Linked DNA regions of Pelodiscus sinensis. The protein of the gene in region 1 purifies or fractionates together with the protein of each later gene. This does not show direct contact. Links are inferred from orthologs where the notes say so. Each region holds a gene or a part of one and is shown in the gene's direction. Other genes may lie near its edges. The genes, in order: DLD, DLST and OGDH.

Region 1 (7,206 bases):
ACAGAACATGCTGAGGGCCTCAACTTAAGTGTGGTTGCATATGCAAGCAAATATATACAAATAGCTTTTCTCACACTAACAGGCATGAATACAAAGATTAAGGCAAGACTACACAACACACAGACCCCATTTAAGTCAGTTCTGCTGATATTAATAAAATTCAATATTTACCCGATTTCTACCATGTGACAGCACTTTTAATGAGCAATGACAGTCCAAGAATTTAACTACTAAAACGCATATCAGCAGAAGATCATTACACTGATTACTTTTTTGTTTTGGCTCCCACTCGCCAGCCACGTGTTGATCCCCACATAAACCCAAACTGCACTGCGAGGCACAAACAAACTGGCCATGGGCAGCATACTAAGTTATTAATAAATATTTTTAAACCTTTACCTTTTCTCTCTGCTGCCATGTCTCCTCTCCTTGCTCCATCATCTCCCCTGGTGCCTGCTGCCCCCCAACTCCTCACCCTCCTCTGCTGTCCTGACTCCTGCCCTTCTCACTGCCCTCAGCCCTCCTGCAACCTGCCCCCCTCCACCAGCCCTTCATTCCCCCCTGTGCCCAATCCTCCAGTAACCCCACTATGATCAAGTGAGCTACGCCTCCTCATCCCCTCTTCCAACACCTCCATCTACACACCTGTCCTGCCTCTCTCCTCTGGTGCTGGTCCCTCCCCTGCAGGTGTCTACCCTTCTGCTTCTCCCCAGAATCCTCTGGCACCTGCACCTTCCCTTAGCCCTGCACCCTCCTGGTGCCTCCCCTTTCCCTTACTGCCCCTGTCCCCTTTGCCCTCTTTTTCCCTGATGCCTACCCCCTCACCGCTCTCTGCCCCATTACCCTCCTGCCCCTCTGTACCCTCACACATGACTTGCTCCATCCCCACCTTTCTCATGCCCACCCCTTCTTCCAGCACCTCCCCCTTCTCCTCTAGCCCCCAATGCCCTTCCCCTCTCCTCTCCCAGCATCACCCTGTCCCCCCTCCCACTGACACCTCCTCTCCTGCTCTTTTCCTCATTGTCTGAATTTGGCCCCCTGCCATTTGTCTCTTGGTGCCTTCCCCTTTCTTCCCCCCCCCTCCACAAGCTCCTTCCCCTTCCCCTCCCCACAAGCACCTTCCCCTTCCCTTCCCCTGCTGAACAAGCCCCTTCCCTACCTTCTGCCTTCCATGTTGTGGGGCTGGAGTCTGTGCTCAGGCCCCAGAGTCCAAACCTGGAGGCAGCCACGCAATGTGTTTCCGAGGACTTTTAAAATCCTGGGCATGACGTGACGTCACGCCTGGGCCCCGCACACCTACAATGCCGCACATGGCAACAGCAGGTGGCGAGGGAGAGCCGCGCATGGCAGGGACGGTCCGGGGCTGAGGGGGACGCTCTGGGGGCAAGGTGGGAGAACGCGCGGGGGGTCCGGGGCCCGCTCCAGGCAGAGCCGGGGGAGAGACCCAGCTCCACATATTGGTGCAGCAGGCCCCCCCTCCCCCCGGCTCTGAATTGTAACGCCGGCTGGCACTTCCAGGTTCAGGGGCGCAGGGCCCCCTTAGGTGCGGGGCCCGATTTGACTGAATCGGTCGAATTGGCCTAAGGCCGGCCCTGTTCCCAGCCAATGGGAGTGCAGAGCTAGTGCTCAAGGCAGGAGCCGTGTGTGGAGCCCTGTGTGCCCCCCTCCCACCTAGGAGCCAGGCCTGCTGCCAGCTGCTTCTAGGGCACAGCACAGTCTGCAGTGCCAGGACAGGCAGATAGTCTGAGTTAGGACCCCCATTCGTCTCTTGATCCCACTGCAGCAACAAGTAGGGTTGCCAGATAGTTTCAACAAAAATACTGGACACACTTGACATTACATCACAATCTACATTACATCATATTTAGAAAATACCGGACATTTCTATTTTCTCATTTCTATTTTCTCAATTTGTTTCCCGAACAGAAAGCTCAAATACTGGACTGTCCGGTTCAAAACCAGATACCTGGCAATCCTAGCAATGAGACCCAGTGTCTGACATTTTATGACCTACTACTGGGTTGTGACCCGTAGTTTGAAAACCACTGCTCTAGGGTACCTCCTTCTTCGCAGGGCAAACACCAGCCATGGCGCTTCCCAACCAAGGATTCCTCTTGGCCAGCGGTGGGCAACCTGTGGCCTGCAGGCTCCATGAGGCCCACTGGGGTTCCACCTGTCTGTGGACCCTCTGTCTGCCCCCCTCCCACACGTATCTTTCACTCACTGGGGCACTGGAGCCTGCACTTCCTATTTCTCCTCCTCCCTCCCAGCACTTTCAGAGCACAATGAATCATCTGATTTGCTCTTCATCCCCACTCCTCCCCCTACCTCCCAGAGCTTGAATGCCATAAATTACCGTAGCTGTTCTCAGCTGTTCAGCTGCTCTGGGATGGAGGAGAAGAAGTGGGGACAGAGAATGAATCAGGCTGACTCGGGCTTACTTGGGCAGCTCTTGGTCAGCTGCGCTACGGCAGACTGCTACGTGTATGCATGTCCTGGGGTACCGTGCTGCATCCTGGAAGTGGCCTGCGGGGAATTGGCCAGTACAGCAGGTCCAGGTCCTAGAGTGAGCACATGATGTTCCCTTCCACCCCCTCTGCTTAGGAGCCAGACCGGCTGTGTTGGACACATCCCTGTTGGCCCCAGCACAGAGCTGCCCCAGCTTGGTGAGAAGAGCCCCCAGCACAGAGCAGCTCCAGAGAGTGGAGCAGTGCCTCTCCCTGCCAGTCCCAAGAAAGAGCTGCCCATGGCACAGCTGTTTAAGGCTGGGGGAGAGGCACCTTTTCCCGTTATGGCCCTGAGCCCCTGCATGATGCTTAATGGGAAGCTGCGCAACTGCGCAACTTAGTAGGAAATTGAAACATCTCAGGCTCTCCACTTTGAATAATCATGAATCACTATGCCATGAAAGGAAGGTGATGAGGGGGAAGAAGAAAAAGGCCCTTTAAAAAGAAGGCTTGAAACTGAAGTTTTATCCAGAACTCAAGAGACAGTTTCAATGGTGGGAGGCTATCTGTGAATGCTAGATCTACCCTCCCCCCATGACTAGGGCGTACGCTGGGGAACTGTTCAAAGGCAAAAGGTAACTGGTATTAGAAAAGGGATTTATCTAGTATAGAAATGTAAAACCTGAAATTGTGACAATGTTTTGTTGCTGTGTAACTTGAATATGTAGGCGATCCCTAAGACATCACAACAGCCCAATGAAATGTCTCTGAGGCAAGAAAGAGAATAATGTGCCTCCATCAGCTCACCCTGCTCCTGTCTCCAATTCACCCAATCTTTGCCCTTGTCCAGTGCATAGATTCCAGCCCCCTGTAGAGCGCAGAGGATGGGATGACAGTAACGTGATAGTGACTGACATAGTGTGCAGAAGGCGTGAATGTGCTCTGCACAGAAGGTGCCATCTTGGAAGGAATGATGCAGCTCCTTTAACATTATATTTGTGGCACCTGCCATCCTACCTACAAGAACTATGCAAAGCCCTAGTCTCCTTGGCCCTGTAGATCTGGTTTTAAAGAAAATGTATTTCCCCCACCAATGTTCACTCACTTCAAAATACCACAGAGAGATTTTAACCTTTGCTCCTGGAGGGCTCTGAAATCTATGGCAAGATAGTGGCTGTAGGAAGCTGTATTGCAACTCTCCTGTACAGTTAGTTTACAGTTTATTAGGTGATGAGCTTTCATGGACCAGACCCACTTCCTCAGATCAAACTGTGGAAGAAAATAGGCATGACCATATATACCTATTATGCCTATTTTCTTCCACAATTTGATCTGAGGAAGTGGGTCTGGCCCCCCGCAAGCTCATCACCTAATAAACCATCTTGTTAGTCTTTAAAGTGCTACATTGTCCTGTTTTTTGTTTCAGCTAGACTAGACTAACAGGGCTACATCTCTATTACTCTTGTACAGCCTGCTGCATGGAAGGAGACACTCAGCTGAGCTGCAGCAGCCCCCTCCAGGCAGGGCCTATTGCTAGGCCTCGGAGCGTTCAGACATATCTGCATAGCCACGCCCACTATGGCTAGCCCTGCCAACCCGCTGCGCCTGCAGACCTCCTCTGCCAGGGGGCAGTGTTGTGCCCTTGCGCGGGGCTCAGGCGACGCCGCTCGGTGACAGCGTCGTTGTCCGCTCGCGGGCCTAGTGCGCCTGCGCGAGTCCGCGGAGACCTTGGAGGCGCGGCTGCCAGGCCTGAGGCGCTCGGACGGGGGTTAAACCTGAGGCGGCCGGAAAATGCAGAGCTGGAGCCGGGTCTGCTGCGCGCTCGCCCAGGTAGCCGCGCGGGCGGGGAGCGGCGCTGGGACACGGCCACGGCCGGGGGGCCGCTCTGGGGCTTGGGCCGGGCCAGCGGGCACCGACCGTCCCCGCCTTGGGCGGGGCGCGCAGACTGACCCCTCCTTGGGGGGGGAGGGATGCGGCCTGGCCAGGGACCTCGGGGCTTGCGTGGTGCCCGCGTCCCCGTGAGTCCTTCCCGCCACTCCGCGCCGGGCAGCGGGGGTCTCCGTGCCTGGTCCCCTGCCCCCACGGACCCTGAGCCAGGCAGGGGGCTCTTGGTGTCTGGACCCCCTCCCCGGTCACCACGACCCTGAACCAGCGGAGGGGTCTTGGTGTGTGCCCCCCCCCCCCCGTCCCCTGTAACCAGTGTTCCCGCTAACCTTTCCCTCCCTGTGCAGAATACATTTGTTTCGTGCGCCGAGGCACGTGCAGATGTGCAGCCCTAGTACAAACACATGCGACTGGCTGTGGGGCGCTGCTAATCAGTTGGGCGGCATTTGACTTTCTCCTGGGCGGCAGCCCACGTGCACAGTTTACAGGGAGCACTGCCTGTAACTCTGATCTGGCCTGCTTGGTGCTTGTGTGTGACCCTAACAGCTCCTTGGGTGCAACTGGCAAAGGGCTCTCGGTTCTGTAATGATGATGCTTGTCCCCACTGACAGACTCATTACACCTAACATTTCACCATCACTGTATTTATCTACAAAGAATGTTGCATGAGATATTAAATCAAAGCCAGGATCATGGTGGTCCTTAATACCATTATGAATTGTATGGAATACATTTTAAAAATTGTCTGTCTACTGAAAATATATCTTATGGTTGATGTCAAGGTACAAGTCCCCAGAGGAGATGGAAAAACTGGTTTTGCCGGTCAAATTGATGTATTTGCCTTTAAGTCATACAATATATAGATTAAGCGTAGTAAAACAAACACAGTGTCAGCTACATTTTTCAAGTTAATTTGAGGATATGAAGACGAGTTGGGGCCAGCACACGGGAGAACAAATATTGGGTAGGTGACGATAGGCAATTCTGAGTTTGGAGTTGAAACAATGAGATTTGGGAGACAAAAGAGAAGCGAAGCCATTTCGGTGATTATTCACAGAGGAAACCCCTTGAGGAGGCGAATGGAGCTATTCATGAAAACTTGGATCCTGGTTTTGCCAGATAACCAGCAACTTTATCAAGGACTCAGTTCTTGGGAGCAGACCTATTTTATTAAAGAGGAAAGGATTATGTTTGATTGTTTTCACTATAAATATACTTTAGTGCTGTAATGTTATATAGTACCTTATCCTGTGTTGTACCAGTCAAGATGTGTATACACTGTCTCTTTGGGCACAGCTTAATCAGTAATAACTGAGGCCTTATCTACACTTACTGGAAGATCGGTACTGCGGTGATCGATCTCCTGGGGCTTGATTTAGTGGGTCTAGTAAACACCTACTAAATCGACTGCTGATCATGCTCCCATCAACTCGAGTGGACCAATGGGAATCAATGGGAGAGTTTCTTCCTCACCCTCTGGTGCCCCCACCCCTGCCACAATAACTTGAACTAAAGTATGTTGACTCCAGCTGTCGTTCAGGTAGCTGGCATTGCGTACCTTATTTCGACATGGTTCCCTCTTGTAGACCTTGCCTGAGTGTCCAGTGATGGGATGGATACTGCAGGGAGCACTTGGGACACAGGAGGGGGAGATGTTGGTGTGTCCCTAGCACTAGCCTTTACAGAAAGGGTGAGGTCTACGTAGCAGGTCTACGTAGACCTGGAGGCTTGTGCTTGTGGGCCCAGAGGCAGTTAGTTTCAGGAAGCTGTGTCACAGGAGCCATAGATAAGGCTGATTTACACTAAGGACAGATAGTAGTGGTGTGTTGCCTTACACAGCCTTGGGTAATCCTGAAGCATGTCACAGTGTGCTGCTTCCACTCCCAGTGCATGGAGGTGGGCAGAGGGGCTCTTGGAGCCTGTTTCTTATGCCTCACTTCCCAATGCTCTGAGTTGTGCAAGAGATTTCAGTGCCTACTGTTTGTGTTCCTTGAAGGCTCTCCTGTTCATCTGTGAGTCCATTTTTCAAGAACTCTTCCTAAATGATAAGAGCTAGGGCCACCAAATTTGGCATGCAGCTTTCTCGTATAAATTAAAGCAAGGTCAGGGTTTGGTTGTGCCAGGATAATGGGATGTGCGTGGAATACGATTGTTTTCATCATATGAAAAGGTAGAGATGTAAGAACAGAGACGGTTTTATTCACAAATAACTACAGGGGGGTAGCAAGCACCCCAGTTCTGGGGAGCTGCTGCTGGCTGGCAGCACAACCCCTGCCATTCTGGCCTGTCCCCAGGAGTAGCTGCTGGCCATGGTGCAGCCTTCCTTCCCCCGGTCCCCTGGGCCAGCCCCAGGAGAAGCAGGCAGGCAGCCTGTGCCGGACTCCTCTCCCCGCTCCATTCTTAGGCAGCATGATCCAGACAATGCGGGGTAAGTATTCTAGTGTGTTTATATAGGTTTTGTTTTATAGCAATTACAATATCGGTTGCCTATCTAGTCTGAACATCTTCTCCAACAGCCATTAGTACCTGATGCTCAGAGAATGTTACAAGATAACATACAGTTAACAGATGATGATAAGGGGTTTTCTTAATCCTTGCAATTCGTGGCTGGTTTGATCTGCGAAGCAACTTTTGGTTCTGTTGTTTTAGATGTAATGCATGCATGTGGTAAAAACTATTGCCTGCCCTGAAGATCTTACAATCTAAGTGGACAAAATAAAGATTGGAATAGAAACAGAGATACACAAGATGAAAGCACAACAGGAAGCACAACAGATTAGTGGCAGAGCTAAGTTTTCTGTATACCACAGCAGTGCGTTATCCACGGAGTTCACAACTGCTACCTATTTTTAATCTTTGTAATGTATTGGGTTTT
Region 2 (8,007 bases), on another chromosome or scaffold:
AAGAAGCACAGAAGCACTGGCAGGGGCATTGAGGAAACCTCTGAGCTTTGTCCCTGCTAAAGAAAGGGATGGGAAAGCCAATAGCAGCCAACCAGCTTCAAGTGCTTCTGAATATGCAAATGAGAGAAGAAGAGGTCAGGTTCAGACAGAGCCTGGGATCAGGGAGGGAGACCTTGTATCTGCAGCTGGGCCACTGGGGACCACAGAAAGTCAGCTGTTCAGAGAGTCTTTAATATGTGAAGTCTGCTTTTCAGATAGGACCATAAAGATAGTGCATAAAGAGCTCTGTGCATTAGCTTCTAGGTTCTAACTTGTTACAGGTCAGGATATCTATGCATTGACAGAGCTATGTCTGAGGCAGCTAAGACAGGAGGAACACGAGCTGCCATAGATCAAGATAGAATGGTACAGGAGCAGATCGTTGGGGCAGGGATGAGCAGTGAGAGCAGGAATGGAACAAGGGCTTCCCCGCATCTTAGCTCAGCCCTGAATGGCACAGTCCCTAATACCACAATCTGTAATTTTCACTCAGAATTTCACCTCTGCTATGCCAGTTCACACCAACAATTCCTCTAGACTAGTATGACACCTGCTGTGTTTCAGCAGAAGATGAAATCTCCTATATTGTACCTGGTGAGGAATGCACTGCTGCACATGAGAGCAATGCCTTTCTGATTGTGATAATTCTCTAGACACCATCTTAGAGAGAGTTCAGAAGGTTTCAGGAGCTCTGTGACAATATTGAGGCTGGCTGACAGCATCTCTCTTGGGCCATATGAGAATGGGGGGGGGGGGCAAAAAAGAGGGCACCTCTGTGTCAGAAGAGTCCTAATAGAGAAGATTTTGTTCTCCTGCAAAGCTAAACAAAACAGGATTGCACTGCAATATAAAAACATAGAAATAATGAAGATGGGAAGACAGCAACATCTTAGAGGATTTTGGAGCTTGAACCTGGTCTGGTAACATGAAATACACGGCAGAATGCAGGTAAAATAGAGCAAGAGACATAGAATTCTCCCCAAAGTGTTCAGTCACAAATTTAATTAATACTTTTTTTAACAATTGCCATCAGCCTAAAAGTATGCCCTCTGGAAGGGTAGCCAAAGCATGAAAGGGGTGTATGAATGTTTTGCATCTCTGGCATGTAAATAGCTTGCAAAGCTAGCTACAAAAGTGCCATGCAAACACCTGTTCTCACTTTCAGGTGACATGGTAAATAGAGGTGGGCAGCACTATCTCCCATATAAATGTAAACAAACGTATTTGTCTTAGTGATTGGCTAAACAAGAATTAGGACTGAGTGGACTTGTAGGTGTTAAAGTTTTACATTGTTTTGATTTTGCTTGCAGTTACGTGTCAAAAAAAATTACATTTGCAACTTGCACTTTCACAATAAAGAGATTGCCCTATAATACTTTTAAGAGGTGAATTGATAAATAAAATGTATTTTGTTTATCTTTTTACATGAAAATATTTATAATAAAAATGATAATATTAAGTATACTTTGTATTCTGTATTGTAAATGAAATCAATATATTTGAAAATGTAGAAAAGCATCCAAAATATTTACATAAATTATATTCTATTATTAACAGCACAATTAATCAGTTAATTTTGTAATCTCATGATTAATCATGATTAATTTTTAAATCACTTGACAAACCCTAGTAACAAATAATTGTACTTAGTATTTTACATTTTTAAAGCACTTTGCAAACAGTAACTTTAGAAATTTGAACCAGTAGTCCACAGTAGCTTGTAAGTTTCTTCCTGCTCTCAGAACTGGAAGTAAGTATTCTGTGGGAAATAATCTACCTTTCCTCAGGAATGGATAGCAAAGAGTGACTAAAGAGTCTTTCACCTCTCCTTAATGGAACAATGTGATTAACCAATGAAAGCTTGTTTAGATGATGTCATCTTTGTAACTAGCTATCTTGATGGACGGCTCTGCTGAGGATGGATTTTCCCTGGAACCAGACTGAATTCACCTGCTCAGCTGAATTAATCAACTCTAAGTAAATTTTTTATTTTTCTAATTTCCCTCCAGATACTTAGAGAGATGTTTAATGAAAGCCTACCATGCATATTTTTTTCCTGTTAGGCAGGAATCTTTTGTTAAGGACAGCTGTTTTCCAGTGTCTTGCTCAAGGACAGCAGCATTCCAGTGAAGAATAACTGAAAAAGTTCTAGATTTGGCACTTTACAAGATCTTAGGGATATAAATGACTAGTCGACTATCTGCTAAGCAAAAGCTTATTGGGTAGTCAACTAGTCCCTCAACTAGTTGCTTTCCCCCCACTTGCTGCCTCTGATAGAGGCAGCAAGAGGGGCAGACCTAGGGCTGGGGGGAGCTGGTTTAAAAGCTGGTTCCCCCCAGCACTGTCTCTGCAAGGGGCAGGGGAAGCAGGGGGATAGTGGGGACCGGGTGCTGTGCCTCTGCTTTTTAAATGTATTAAGAGCCACCTGGCTCTTCATACTTTAAAAATCAGAAGTGCAGCAGCGGGGATCCAGCGCAAGCCCGACCAGCTGATTGTCAGCTTGTGCCAGGTCCCCTGCTGAGCTCCAGCCTTTTAAATGTATTAAGAGCCGGTAGGGAGGGCTCTTAAATGTATTAAGACACGGGAGGGGACCCAGCACGAACCGGGAATCAGCTGTCCCAGCTCACGCAGGGTCCCCCCTGCTGCACTTCAGTCTTTTAAATGTATTAAGAGCCAAGAGGCTCTTAATACATTTAAAAGGCAGAGCTGCAGAGGGGTTAGTTTCCAGGGCAGGGAGCTAACCCCACTGCTGCTCCCCCACTTATTGACTAATCAATGGAAAATCTATCGACTAGTTGATTAGTTGATTAAACTAAATTTAACATCCCTAGGGCTCTATTTCCTTTTTGTTTACATGCCAGCAGAGTTTCAAAGTATTGGAGAATGTCTCTTATTGATTTTTCTAATATTTTTCCTTTAAAAAATTCCTAGGAAATTCCCTGCAAAATTCTTTGCAGAGTATTATGGTTACATAGATGCTCAAAAGTTATGAAAAGCCTTAATTATGGATGTACACTCAATCTTTACTTTCCCTTTTGGAACAGATGCCTCATTACAATGCAGTTTTTAATTACAGGATCACAGACTATTGCAGGTTTAGTACAGAGTTTCTTAAACTTTGTAGTAGCATTCACCTCATGTTAAGAGGAAGCTGTTTCATGCTCCTTTCTTGCCATTTCCAGTTGTGCAGGTGACCTCCTATTTCTATCCAGGTAACATGCCTGTGGCAACTGAAACATTTATTTATATCAAATGTAATGTCCAGAAAGTAATTTACTGTAGCTGTCACTAGTGTGATTTTAGCAGGAGAAAACAAAGAGGATTATAGCAACTTTAATCAGCCTGCTTTGGGGGGGGGGGGGGGGGAGCCCTGAGCCTCAGGAGCCAGATACAGGTAAGCTGGTTGCCTTAGGTTTCCCACTCCTTCTGTAAGTGGTCTCAGTACCACTAAGTGGGACAGTACACCAAACCTAGCAGGTGTGTGAGTTACATCAGCAGAGTGACTAGCATCAGTCATGTGTGGATCTTTCTCTTTCCCACAGCCTATGAGCTATAGTATGTGAGAATGATGGGCACAGGGTATTTCTGTTTAAAGAATATTGTAAGAACTTGGAATGAAAGGTGGTGAGGTTTGTGGGGGTCTCAATCCTGAGAGTATGTACTATACTCTTGGGCTACGTCTACACTGGCATGATTTTCCAGAAATGCTTTTAACGGAAACGTTTTCCGTTAAAAGCATTTTCGGAAAAGCGTGTCTAGATTGGCAGGATGCTTTTCCGCAAAAGCACTTTTTCCGGAAAAGCGTCCGTGGCCAATCTAGACGCGGTTTTCCGCAAAAAAGCCCCAATCGCCATTTTCACGATCGAGGCTTTTTTTGCGGAAAACAGGACTATGCTGTCTACACTGGCCCTTTTGGGCAAAAGTCTTTCGGAAAAAGACTTTTGCCCGAATGGGAGCAGCATAGTATTTCCGGAAAAGCACTGATGATTTTACATGACATCGTCAGTGCTTTTCCGGAAATTCAAGTGGCCAGTGTAGACAGCTGGCAAGTTTTTCCAGAAAAGCTGCTGATTTTCTGGAAAAACTTGCCAGTCTAGACACAGCCTTGGATTGGCCCCTGCGAATACTCTGTCTTCTGAACAGATGAGCTTTACCCTTACTTCGTTCAGTTCTGTGACTCCCTTATCTCCCATCCTCCTAGCCATAACTTCATCTTCTCTGACACCCATATTGCATCCTCTGGTCCATTCAAATTACAAGTGCCAAGATCACCTTCATGGCCAGTCACTGACCACAGAATCCATCTCTGCACCCTTGTAAGGGCTCCCCCACTGTCATTCCTCATCAGGTTCCAATTCCTTGTTCTCATCTGAATAGCTTCTCTGCCCTTCCTTGATTCACCCTCCCAGCCCTCTACTCTACCAACCATGCCAGCGCATCTGCCTGCTTCTCGCACAACGGCTCATTATATACTGGCCCCGCCTCCTCCATCAAACCCTCCTCCTATCCCACTGCCGACACCAGCCTTGTGAGTACTGAGCCGGAGCGAGACGTCTGGACTGGGGCAGGGTGGGGCACGTTTTCCGCTCGGTGCACCCTGCGGGTGTCACGCCGCTTCCGGGTGTTCTCTGAGGTCCTGTCCTGAGCGCGGCTCTGCCCCCACTGCCATGCAACAGGGCGGTTCAGCCCCACTTCATGAGACCCCACGGGGTGGTTCAGTCCTCACGCCCCCCCCCATCGCCTCGGGGTGGTTCATTCCTTCCGCCATTCCCTTCTGCTCCCACCAGCTTTGCTCTTCGGGTGCACTCGTGCTGCTCCTTAGGAGAATTCACTGTCTGCGTCCCCAGCCCCGTGGTTGGTACGATCCCCTGTGACACACCCCCCCCCCCGCATATGCGCCCGAGGTTGGTCCGCCCCGGCCCGCTTCCGCCCTGTGCCGGGCCTGGTTCCGGTGTCCGCCCTCCGGCTGCTCCTGCCGTCGCTGCCGCCGCCGCGATGCTGCTATTGTCCCGGTCCCGCTGTCTGAGCGGGGCGCTTGGCCGCTCACTCTGCGCGCTCCGGCAGGTACCGCCCGGGGCGGGGGCGGGGGCGGGAGCGGAAGGGACGAACGGGCAGCAGCGCCAAGGGCACCGGGACGCGGTGTCACGTCCCCGTTCTGGGCCGACTCCTGGAGAAACTCCTGCGCCCGGTCCCCCGCGGGCCGCTCCCTCGTGGGACCCCCATTGCGCACCCGCCGTGCGCACCGCGAGCCTCAGGGGAACGTGTCCCACAAGCCGTGCCCCAAGCTGGGGCCCCGGCGAACAGGGCGCTGCCTCAGATCCTCCCCTCCCCCCCCTCGGAGCAAATCCCTTGTGAGGTCTGTCCGTGGACCGGCCTGGCGTGGGGAGTGGCAGCTGAGGGAAACCCCGCGCCCCAAGGATACGCCTGCCAGTCTAAAGCCGGAGTCCCGAATGGCGAGGGCTATTTGAGTCCAGACCCTGCAGGATGGGGCTGATGGAATAGGTCCTGAGCATAGCCAGAGACAGCACCGGTTGGGCAAGCAGGGCCGCCTCAACTGCAGCCTGATAGCCTGCCCAGCATTTGCCCTCAGAACTCCCTAATACCATCCTTGTGGCTCTTATTCTTGGGCAGGCAACTGTTGCAAGCTGTGTGCTGGAGCCCTCCTGAGGAGGAGTTACAAGGACAGCCTATTGTCAGCTCTACTATCAGGAGGTCATCCTACATGGAATAAACAGAAAGACAGCTATGCCACCGTAAACATCTTTGTAGCTGTCTGATACCAGGATTTTTTTATACCCACTCATATTCTGCTCTCCTAATATGTATCTCCTAAAACACAGTCTCTTTGGTACACATATACCATCCTTGTGACAGCTTTCTATCTGGTTTATGCGACTTGCATTGGTATTGTTAATCTAGAGAAGCAAGTAATTTTGACAGCACCTTAAGTGTTCATAAAACTTTACAGGCACCTAAAGAATGATCTCTGTTTCAAAAACTGTATTGTGGGAAGCTTTGTTATGGGGAGAAATTGGCAAAATATAAATGGAAATGTAGCAGAAGACTGGGGATTCGTCTAGACTGGCATGATTTTCCACAAATGCTTTTAACTGCAAAGTTTTCCATTTGAAAGCATTTGCGGAAAAGAGTGTCTAGATTGGCACGGACGCTTTTTGCGGAAAAGGGTCTGTGGCAGTCTAGACGCGCTTTTGCGCAAAAAAGCCCCAGTCGCCATTTTTGCGATCGGGGCTTTTTTGTGCAAAACAAATCTGAGCTGTCTACACTGGCCCTTTTGCGCAGAAGGACTTTTGTCGGAACGGGAGCAGCATAGTATTTCCGCAAGAAGCACTGATTTCTTACATGAGATTGTCAGTGTTCTTGCAGAAATTCAAGCGGCCAGTGTAGACAGCTAGCAAGCTTTTCTGCAAAAGCAGTTGCTTTTGCGGAAAAACTTGCCAGTCTAGACACAGCCAAGAAGTAGCAATTGGGTACCTCAGTAATGAGTGTGTAATTAGGGCAGAAAGATGATAGCAAGGACAAGGCATTTCTACTTGATGTAGAATTAGCTGTGAAATCAATTGAGAAATGTTTGTGTTTGGGTAAGAAGGCCAAGGAAGTAGTGGTCATCAAGCAAGAGATAATAGGGCATAGACAAAAAGTTTTGACATTGAGAATAAGGAGGAAGAAGCAGATTTTGGAAATGCAGAGGGAGACTCGCCAGAATTTGGTGGATATCTAATGGCAGGAGGAGAGAAGAGAAGACGAGGATGACCCTCAGGTCTGTGGGCTTGAGTGACTAGGAAGATAGGGGAGTGGTCAGCAGGAATAGAGATAAGGAGAAGGAAGAAAAGTGTTGGCGTTTTGATATGTGAGGAAGAAAGAAGATATGCAGAAAGAGAATTTGAAGAGACAAGCAGCATTATGGGATTGAAGACAAGAGATGAGTTGCCAACATAGGAATCATGTACAAGTGCTGAGAGAGGAGGAAGAGAAGGCCATTTACTACTGCCATTGGGCACAAAAGTGAGGAGAATTACTACCTATAGAGGGGTTGAACAGAGAGGAGGGCCCCAGAAGCCCTCAGAGGAAAGGGTCCAAAGAAAGAGTGTAGTTTACAACACTGAAAACAGCAGAATTCACAGTGAATGAGACCTTTGGGATATATTTAGGAAAGAAAGGATCATAAAAGTTAGTGGGGAGATTGGCAGGGAATTCGAGAACAGGTCAGGCTGCCAGTTTGGTAACGATATCTTCTGTCTGCTCAGCATTACCGTCTGCATTGCATCTTAGCACCTGTCTCCTTCTCTATCTACCTGATGTGTATAATTACTAATTGTTGAAATCAATGAGTAATTTGAAATACTTGGTTCTCTTGTTTCCAGCAATGGGTTACACTGGCAGCCCTCTCTGTCAATGCAGCAGCCCTCTCTGCTGTAAGCAGTTCTTCCACTATTTCCTATGTGTGTGCAGAAGTCTTTGCCACAGAGTGATTGGTCTGTCATGCCACTTCCAAAGCTTTCCAGCCCTTTGTCTATTGGAAGTTGTGCTTGGAGCCGTGAAACTGGCTTTGCCCAGCGTGATTCTATTCTCTCAATGCTCTTATCTGAACTGGCTCTTGTTTCCAGTATAGGACTGAGGACACACAGCATGCCTACAGTCATCTTCCGTATTCCATAGGGGGACTTTTCAAATGTCATGAGTGGCATTTCCCTAAAAGATAGTATGGAGATGGTTAAATATATAGGGGATGCCTTTGGTGATAGACTGGTTCCAGCATGTTGAATGGTTCTGAGAAGTTATGTGAAGGTAGGGAAAGATTAAATTAATTGGTAGCTTGATCTGGGGAAGTGTAAGTTAAGAGATTCGTAGTGCTACAGTCAGTTTGCTAGATCTATAGATTTTGCTTCCTGTTCAGGCTCCTACTTTCCTGTGAAGGGTATGACAATATTAGTTGTTTGTTCAGACATT
Region 3 (7,013 bases), on another chromosome or scaffold:
CAGATAGTTCAAGACTTGTTTAGTTTATTACTTATGCTTATATGTGTAGGGTTCACTTCACCAGTTTAGCAGCCTAATTTTTCCTTTAATCAGACATTCATTCTCTTAATCCTCTGTTTGTTTGGCTTGGTCCTTGCTTAAGCAAAAAGTGATTCCCAGTCTGTCTTCTGTGACAAGTTTTATTGACTCTTCTGGCTGGTTTGAGGCCAAATTAAGTAGCTTAATCTACAGTGTTTAATGGTCTGTCTTTGTATAGTTTGAATACTGGGTTTATTCTGAATATTTGTAGTCACTGATCTTTCAGTGAAAACAACTAAAAACAGGGAATTGAGGAATTTCTGAGTTTGAGTCCAGCTTTAATGCTTCCTTGTCAACACAGCTGTACATGTGATCAATACATTTGAATACTGTTTTAGTTAAACTGGTTCAGCTTTGTATCTGAACTCTCATCGGTTTACTTTATATCGGCACATTTACAAGCATAGGCTAAATTAATGTATCTAAATATAAACCAATATGAGTCTCCCCAGACAGGCTGTAAGGTGTAACTAAACTGATTCATATTAAACCTGTGCAGCTTCTGAGTATAGACAAGCCAAAGCACTTTATTTGGAATTGGGCAGATCAGTTCTAAGCCAAAACTTTTAAAATATTTACCACTAATACTTTTTTGACACTTCATCTCTTAGGAGCCTAATAGTGGCTTGTGTACATAGGGTTATTCCTGAAAATCTCTACCCATCGACACTTACTTTGGAGCAAAAGTTCTCCGATCCCATTGAAAGTAGATTAAGCTAAACAGGAGCCAAGGCACTCTTGTTCCAAATAAAAGTGCCTATGCTTGGAGTTACTAAAAATAGCTATTGTTTTTCTGTCTCATTCAGGGAGACACTCAGAATCCCTATCAATCCTAAGATATGAAATCAACAGACTTGCATCCCAAAAGACTGAGTGTTTGTTTGCTTCTGTTTTGATGCAAAACCACTGGGAGTCTGTCGAGATCTGACAAGATGTTGGTTTACAGACTTAAGGAAAAGACTAACAGAAATAAGATCACTGGTATTTGTGATGGTAGCAGTAATTATACACAAGTCAGATGTTAATAAACACTTTTAACAATTGTATGCACAGCTGTAGCCCAAGAAGGAATCAATAAAAGATGCCCTATTTGTGAATTGTCTCTGTCACAGATCTGTTGGAAAGAGCTTTCTGATGTTCCTCTAGAAACTGGAGCAATAGCTTAGACTTCAAAAGAAATGAAGGTTGGAAAGACCAAATGAATTTTAACAAATGTTCTCTGAAACTTGAACACCTCTGTTCAGTGAAGCCATGGATGACCAAACTCTCCTACCTCCTCTAAGAGAATCTGTTCCTTCAGTTAGCCCTAAACCTGGGAAAGTCAATAGACTAATAGTTACTGGCCAGTTTTTTAGCCAGAGCATTTGCTATGGAATTGTGCAAAGGCCTCGCACACGCAACAAGCTTGTTACCCAGATGAGCGCTAATTAGAATGCTTAGACTCAACTTTTGCAGGTGTTGAGTTCTCAACAGTCATTGTTCTCAGCATCTTTGAAAGTCATGTCCCAAATGTCTCCAGTTGGACACCAGAATTAGATTACTCCATGAAAAGTTGGTCCATAAGCCTCTCTGAATGGTAACTACCAAGAGGTAGAATCCTAGTGATGACGAGGCAGTGGGTAGTTTTTTGTACAAGTTAGCAGGTTGATTTAAAGTGGGTAGTAGTGTACCGGAGGTTCCCTGATTCCCACAGCTTCCATTGGCCGGGAGCAGCAAACCACAGCCCCTGGGAGCTGTGAGTAGCATGCCTGCAGACACTCAGTAAGCAAACTGCCTTGCAGCCCCCAGCAGCTAACCCTGACCAGCCCGAACCGGAGGCTCCCCACTCCTGATTTAAGGGCTATGTTTTCGCTGCCAAAAAGGGGGTGGAGCAGCAGGTTAGGGTATGTTATCTTGCTGAAGGTAAGACACAGCCATAGACTTGGAGGGACCTTAGGGCTTTTACCTTGATGTACAAAGTCATGTGGGAAACTGCAGCATAGTTATCTTCTCCAGGATTTTACCACCTGTTAAGAACGTACCTTTTCCCTTAGTGAAGTCACAGTGTAGTGCTGTGAAGGGCTTTGAGTGCACAGCAAGGAAGGCACTATACTTCTCTACTCCAGATTGTCCCTCCTTGGTCTGGCACCCTGGAGATCTGACGGGTCCTGGACCAGGGGCAGTCAGTGCCGGCCCCTCTGCTGCCCTGGCTGCAGGGATCTGCTTGATGGCAGCAGAGGGGCTGGCATTGACTGAGCAGGGACTGGGTGGAGGGTGCTCGGCAGAAGAGACGGGGTGGCAGTGTAGCCTTCTCCTGGGCGTCTTGCCTCCTGTCCCCACTTTTCCAGCTCCGGAAGCTTTTGGGAGGACGGGAGGAACAGCTGAGCATTGGGCCTCAGCTTTTCCTCATGAGGGTTCCAGCCCAGGAGCACCCATGGGGATGTCAGGCCAGAGATGGTCTCCGGGTGAGGGAAATCCAGACTAGAGGTGCAGCCTGTAGCACTCCATTGAATTCTGGCCCAAAAGCACCATGGCAGCTCGGTGAGCAATGCAATAAAATTGTAGCTGGAAGAAAAGTGCTGTCCTAGTTAACCAGTTGCAACTCCCAGCCAGCAACTCTCAGCCAGTGCCTATTAAATAGGAAAGGGGGTAATGGAAAATGTTTCCAAGCTGGGTTTATGTAACCAAAGTTGTTTTCTTGCGGTTTTTGCTTATGAAGGAGGGTTGTGCCATCTTCACATGAGGTTGCTGGAGAAAATGTAACATTGAACCCCGTGATCCAGCTGCCAAACAGACCCTGCCAGTTCTCAGCTGGGGATAGGGGCTTTTTATGTCCACTTAGTGGGCTCTCACTGAACAAACTTGTTTGTGTTTTTAAGTAAATGTTTTGTAAACGAAAGGCCGAAACCCTCTCCCCAGCCAGTGTACCAATTCTGGAAGTAGCCTCCAGCTCACATGCCACTGTCCTAGGGCTTTTAAAAGAGACAAACTGCTGGGTATTGTATGGCCTGGTGACGGCTGCTCTGCTGACAGACTGATCCGTAAGTATTCTGTGTGTTATGACGGCATGTAGCTGCACCAATAGCTTGTGCACTGTCACTGACATTTCTTTTTGTTTTTAAAGGGGAGTCAGTGTTCATCTCAAGGACTAGATTTGAAATGTTAATAGGAATAGCTGGGAAGGGGAGCAGAGGTGTAAGGGCCAGATTTTCAGATGTTCCACTTCCATTGGAAAATTTTCCTTTTTTTAAATAGGAAAAAACAACTAAAAAGCACAGGAATTGGCAGAAGGACAAGAAATTATTTGAAGCTTTTTTTTAATTGACTCAATTACAGTACAGGCAGTCCCCGGGTTACGTACAAGATCGGGACTGTAGGTTTGCTCTTAAGTTGAATTTGTATGTAAGTTGGAACTGGTACATATTGTAGGGGAAACTCTAGCCAAACATTTCTCCAGAGCTCAGTTTTATTCTCCCACACCTCACTTCCCTCAGTCCTTTATTCTCAAGCTGAGGTGTCTGCTGAGAAAAGCCGCTCCGCGTCTCCCTGGTCTGCTGGGGGGGGGCGCTAGCTTCGCGTCTCCCTGGTCTGCTGGGGGGAAGCAGCTAGTGCGGGGTTGCCTCACCCCGTTTGTAAGTAGGGATCCGATGCAAGTCGGATCCATGTAACCTGGGGACTGCCTGTACTGTCTCAGCCGAATAAACAGGCATTAGCCATAAGATAGCTTTAGGAGTCTGATTCACTAAGGCTAGGTCTTCACTGCAAAAACCTTGCATTAGTTTTGAGATAGTTGTCTTGCTGTAAGTTCTTAGTGGAGACAAGGTATGGGGAACTTTTACAGCAAGGTGGCTACTTGTGGTCTCCTTCATCTGTCTGCAGTAAGGTACTTTTGGTTTGTGTCCACAGGGATTTAGCATTGAGATGGTCAGATGTCACCTATTTTTTTTCCAGTGAAGACATAGCCTCGGAATCCCAGCCCTCCACTCTTTAAAGGGAAATAGGGCCTTTCCTGGAACCCGCGTCTCTCGCGTTTAGTTGGACAGCAAATCCAAGAAGATATGCTTCTTGTATGTTACGTTTTAATTTTGCATAATAGCTGATAATTTTACTCTGATGGCTTAATGACCTCTTCCTAGTGCACTAGGAGGAATGGCGCACATGTTGTAAAATGCCTGCATATGTTGCGCTGCACGCAAGGGCAACTCTTTCCCTGCCCCGCGTGTTTGGGAGTGAGCAATGTGGACACTAAGAGAACTGCAGGGAGGTGGGAATGGGAACAAAGTTCAGCAGAAGTGCTGCTGAGTGGCAGTCTCAGCATTTTGCCTCCACTGCTTCCAGTGAGTTGCAATTACGCTCTCTTGGGGTGCCTTCCCTGTCAGTAAATCCATTTTCCCAACATCCCCTTTGCTTTTAATCATTCCTACCTCTCCTCTAGCTTTGCTTCTGATGCTCTTTGTCCGCAGCCTACTGACCAGCTTTCTCTGATCACATTTACAGCCTAGTGTTCCCTCCTTTATTCCTGTGCCCCAAGAGGTATAAATGATCAGACCTTTCTCATTTTATCAGCGGTTGTCAGAAAAACGAACATCTGTTCACAATGGAGTACTGCTTGATAAATGTAAAGCTTACAAGTTGATATATTAAACTTCAGTTTTAGGTGATGTAAACTGAAAGCAAAATAGGGGAGAAAAAGTTGCTGTTAGGGTTGGATTTCACTTTCTGCTTTAGTTCCCTACTCCCCAGCCAATTGCAGCCAGTCAGTATGGGAAGGGATGTTAGTGTGTAATCATTTAAATGATTTGATTGATTGATAAGCCTGGTCTTATCTGTTAATTCTAATGACCAGGGCTCGACAAATAATACAATCTACTTGCCTGTGGCGAGTAGATGGTAACCCGGAAGAGCTGGGTTCGGGCGTTCTGCGCATGCGCAGATCGCTGGACAGCGCAGCTGGTGAGCTGGGCTCGCCGCGGTTTGGTGAGCCCTGCTGATGACTACATGCCCCTCGCCCCCAGGTTGCTGGTGGCTCCCCCCATGTATTGGCTCCCCCAGAACTGCCTGGGGTAGGCAGGAGAGAGTGCTTCTCCCCCCGTCTACCCCACATGTAAATGTGTAACAATTAAAAAAAATCCAGTGGTTACATGTTTACGCACGTGTTTGTTAACATCCCTATTGGGGAGTGGAGGGGATTAACCCAAAGGGATACTAGTCCATATCTTAATTCAGTAGTTGTGCAGTGCCAATACCCATACTAAGCTATTGGTTTCAAGTAGCCAAATGAGAAATCTGACTGGAGGAGGGGCAGCGTGGCCTCCTGGATGGAGCGTTGCTCTAGGACATGGGAAACCTGTTACTGGCTCCGCTCTGCTGAGTGACTCTGATTCCAGTCTCAATCTCCATTTTACAGATGGGGAAACAATGTTTGAGAAGGGCTTTGAGATCTGTGGATGAGAAATGCTAAGTAACAGCTAGATGGTTATTGGGTTGATTTCTCTTTGTAAATTGCAAAACAGTTCAATGTCTAAAATGCTTCTTATTCCTATACCAACAGGAGCTTGTGAGCGGCTACAGGACAAAAATGTTTCACTTAAGGACTTGTGCTGCTAAATTGAGGCCGTTGACGGCCTCACAGACTGTTAAGACAATTTCCCAACACAAGCCAGCAGCACCAAGGACGTTCCAGCAAATCAGGTGTTACAGTGCGCCTGTGGCTGCTGAGCCGTTTCTGAGTGGGACTAGTTCGAACTATGTGGAGGAAATGTACTATGCGTGGCTGGAAAATCCCAAAAGTGTACATAAGGTAAGGAGGAGCCATTCGTCCAGGATATTGTTCCTTCATCTCCTGCATGTGTGTGAGAGAGAGTCCAATGGCACAGTCAGGTAAGTGCAGATGTCCGGAAGGAATTCAGCGCAAAGAGCCTGGGAATCACGAATCATCAGTTCCACGTCCGCTTCTGTGGAAAGAACCAACAGTGTTTAATTGAGCAATAGCAAAACAATTCGATCCTGCTTCGTTCTGGATTGAATCCGAGAAGCTCAGAGCATTCAGTCAACTCGGCATGTTCTGCTTTGGGAATCAAAGGTGGATTCAAAGAGAAGAGCTGCCTTTCCTGGGAATCCCCCTCTTGCTGAGCTGCTGCTTTTCCTTTCTGATGGAGTGTTGGGAGAGCAGGGAGGAGGGAATTGGGTTCAAGTTCTGTGCATTCCACTATTAATGTGGGATGCAAATTGTGCTCAGCGCGGCAGTGTTTGATCTCCTGTGAGTAAGTATGCTGGCTCTGCTGCAGAGTCGTTCTTCCAACACCACTTGGGTGGCAGAAATGTGGGTATAAAATCCTCTGCTGTGGTTAGCAGAGCTCTTTCTACCAGCCATTCCTTAACTTTTCCTCAAGCTACTAACTTCAGAAGATAATTATTCTAAGGGTTACAAGTGTAAAATTCTAGTGAGCTTTAGTCTATCCAGAGCTGGTATCCGATAGCATACCACCTTGAAATCTGTCACTAACATGCATGTGTTGGGTTAATGGCCATCACACACAATCACTTTGGCCATGGTCCGTGGTAGATTAAGTTTACAAGTTTCAGTACAGTATTCAACCCTATACAAACGCGTGCAGCTCTGTTTAGCATAATTGTCTCATAAATCCCTCTTAGCGGGGCTGAATTTGGACCACAGGAAGTAGTCTGTTGGCTAGTAATTGCCAGGAGCCATTACCAAGCAAAGTGTCACTGGAAGTCTGAGGAGTAACTGTATGAAGTTAATAATAGACATTGAACTAGCTCTGCTATTGCTGTACACTAGACAGTCTTACAGTTAGAGGGTGAAATTAAAAACCTCCACTAGGAAGGAATGCTTGGTGGGGCCAGGAGGTGATCTTCAGCCTCATGTCTAAGGGAAGCTTGCGGAATTGTAGACTTAGCTGCTTTCCCGTCTCATCTCTGGGCAAGCTTTGGAG

Evidence for each region.
Region 2: the proteins of DLD (region 1) and DLST purify together in Homo sapiens (affinity purification with mass spectrometry; 3 studies listed by BioGRID and IntAct, counting the BioPlex papers as one, with this or other methods). This does not show direct contact. The link is inferred for Pelodiscus sinensis from reciprocal best matches to the Homo sapiens genes DLD and DLST.
Region 3: the proteins of DLD (region 1) and OGDH purify together in Homo sapiens (affinity purification with mass spectrometry; 3 studies listed by BioGRID and IntAct, counting the BioPlex papers as one, with this or other methods). This does not show direct contact. The link is inferred for Pelodiscus sinensis from reciprocal best matches to the Homo sapiens genes DLD and OGDH.

Annotation. Positions count from the first base shown.
Region 1 is NC_134711.1:27,156,522-27,163,727, forward strand, and holds the start of DLD (dihydrolipoyl dehydrogenase, mitochondrial), read left to right. Parts: upstream 1-4,118; 5' UTR 4,119-4,238; coding exon 4,239-4,277; intron 4,278-7,206. UniProt on the Homo sapiens protein: Lipoamide dehydrogenase is a component of the glycine cleavage system as well as an E3 component of three alpha-ketoacid dehydrogenase complexes (pyruvate-, alpha-ketoglutarate-, and branched-chain amino acid-dehydrogenase complex).
Region 2 is NC_134714.1:44,204,343-44,212,349, reverse strand, and holds the start of DLST (dihydrolipoyllysine-residue succinyltransferase component of 2-oxoglutarate dehydrogenase complex, mitochondrial), read left to right. Parts: upstream 1-4,946; 5' UTR 4,947-5,034; coding exon 5,035-5,103; intron 5,104-8,007. UniProt on the Homo sapiens protein: Dihydrolipoamide succinyltransferase (E2) component of the 2-oxoglutarate dehydrogenase complex. The 2-oxoglutarate dehydrogenase complex catalyzes the overall conversion of 2-oxoglutarate to succinyl-CoA and CO(2).
Region 3 is NC_134738.1:4,939,989-4,947,001, reverse strand, and holds the start of OGDH (2-oxoglutarate dehydrogenase complex component E1), read left to right. Parts: upstream 1-3,995; 5' UTR 3,996-4,115; coding exon 4,116-4,124; intron 4,125-5,608; coding exon 5,609-5,857; intron 5,858-7,013. UniProt on the Homo sapiens protein: 2-oxoglutarate dehydrogenase (E1o) component of the 2-oxoglutarate dehydrogenase complex (OGDHC). Participates in the first step, rate limiting for the overall conversion of 2-oxoglutarate to succinyl-CoA and CO(2) catalyzed by the whole OGDHC.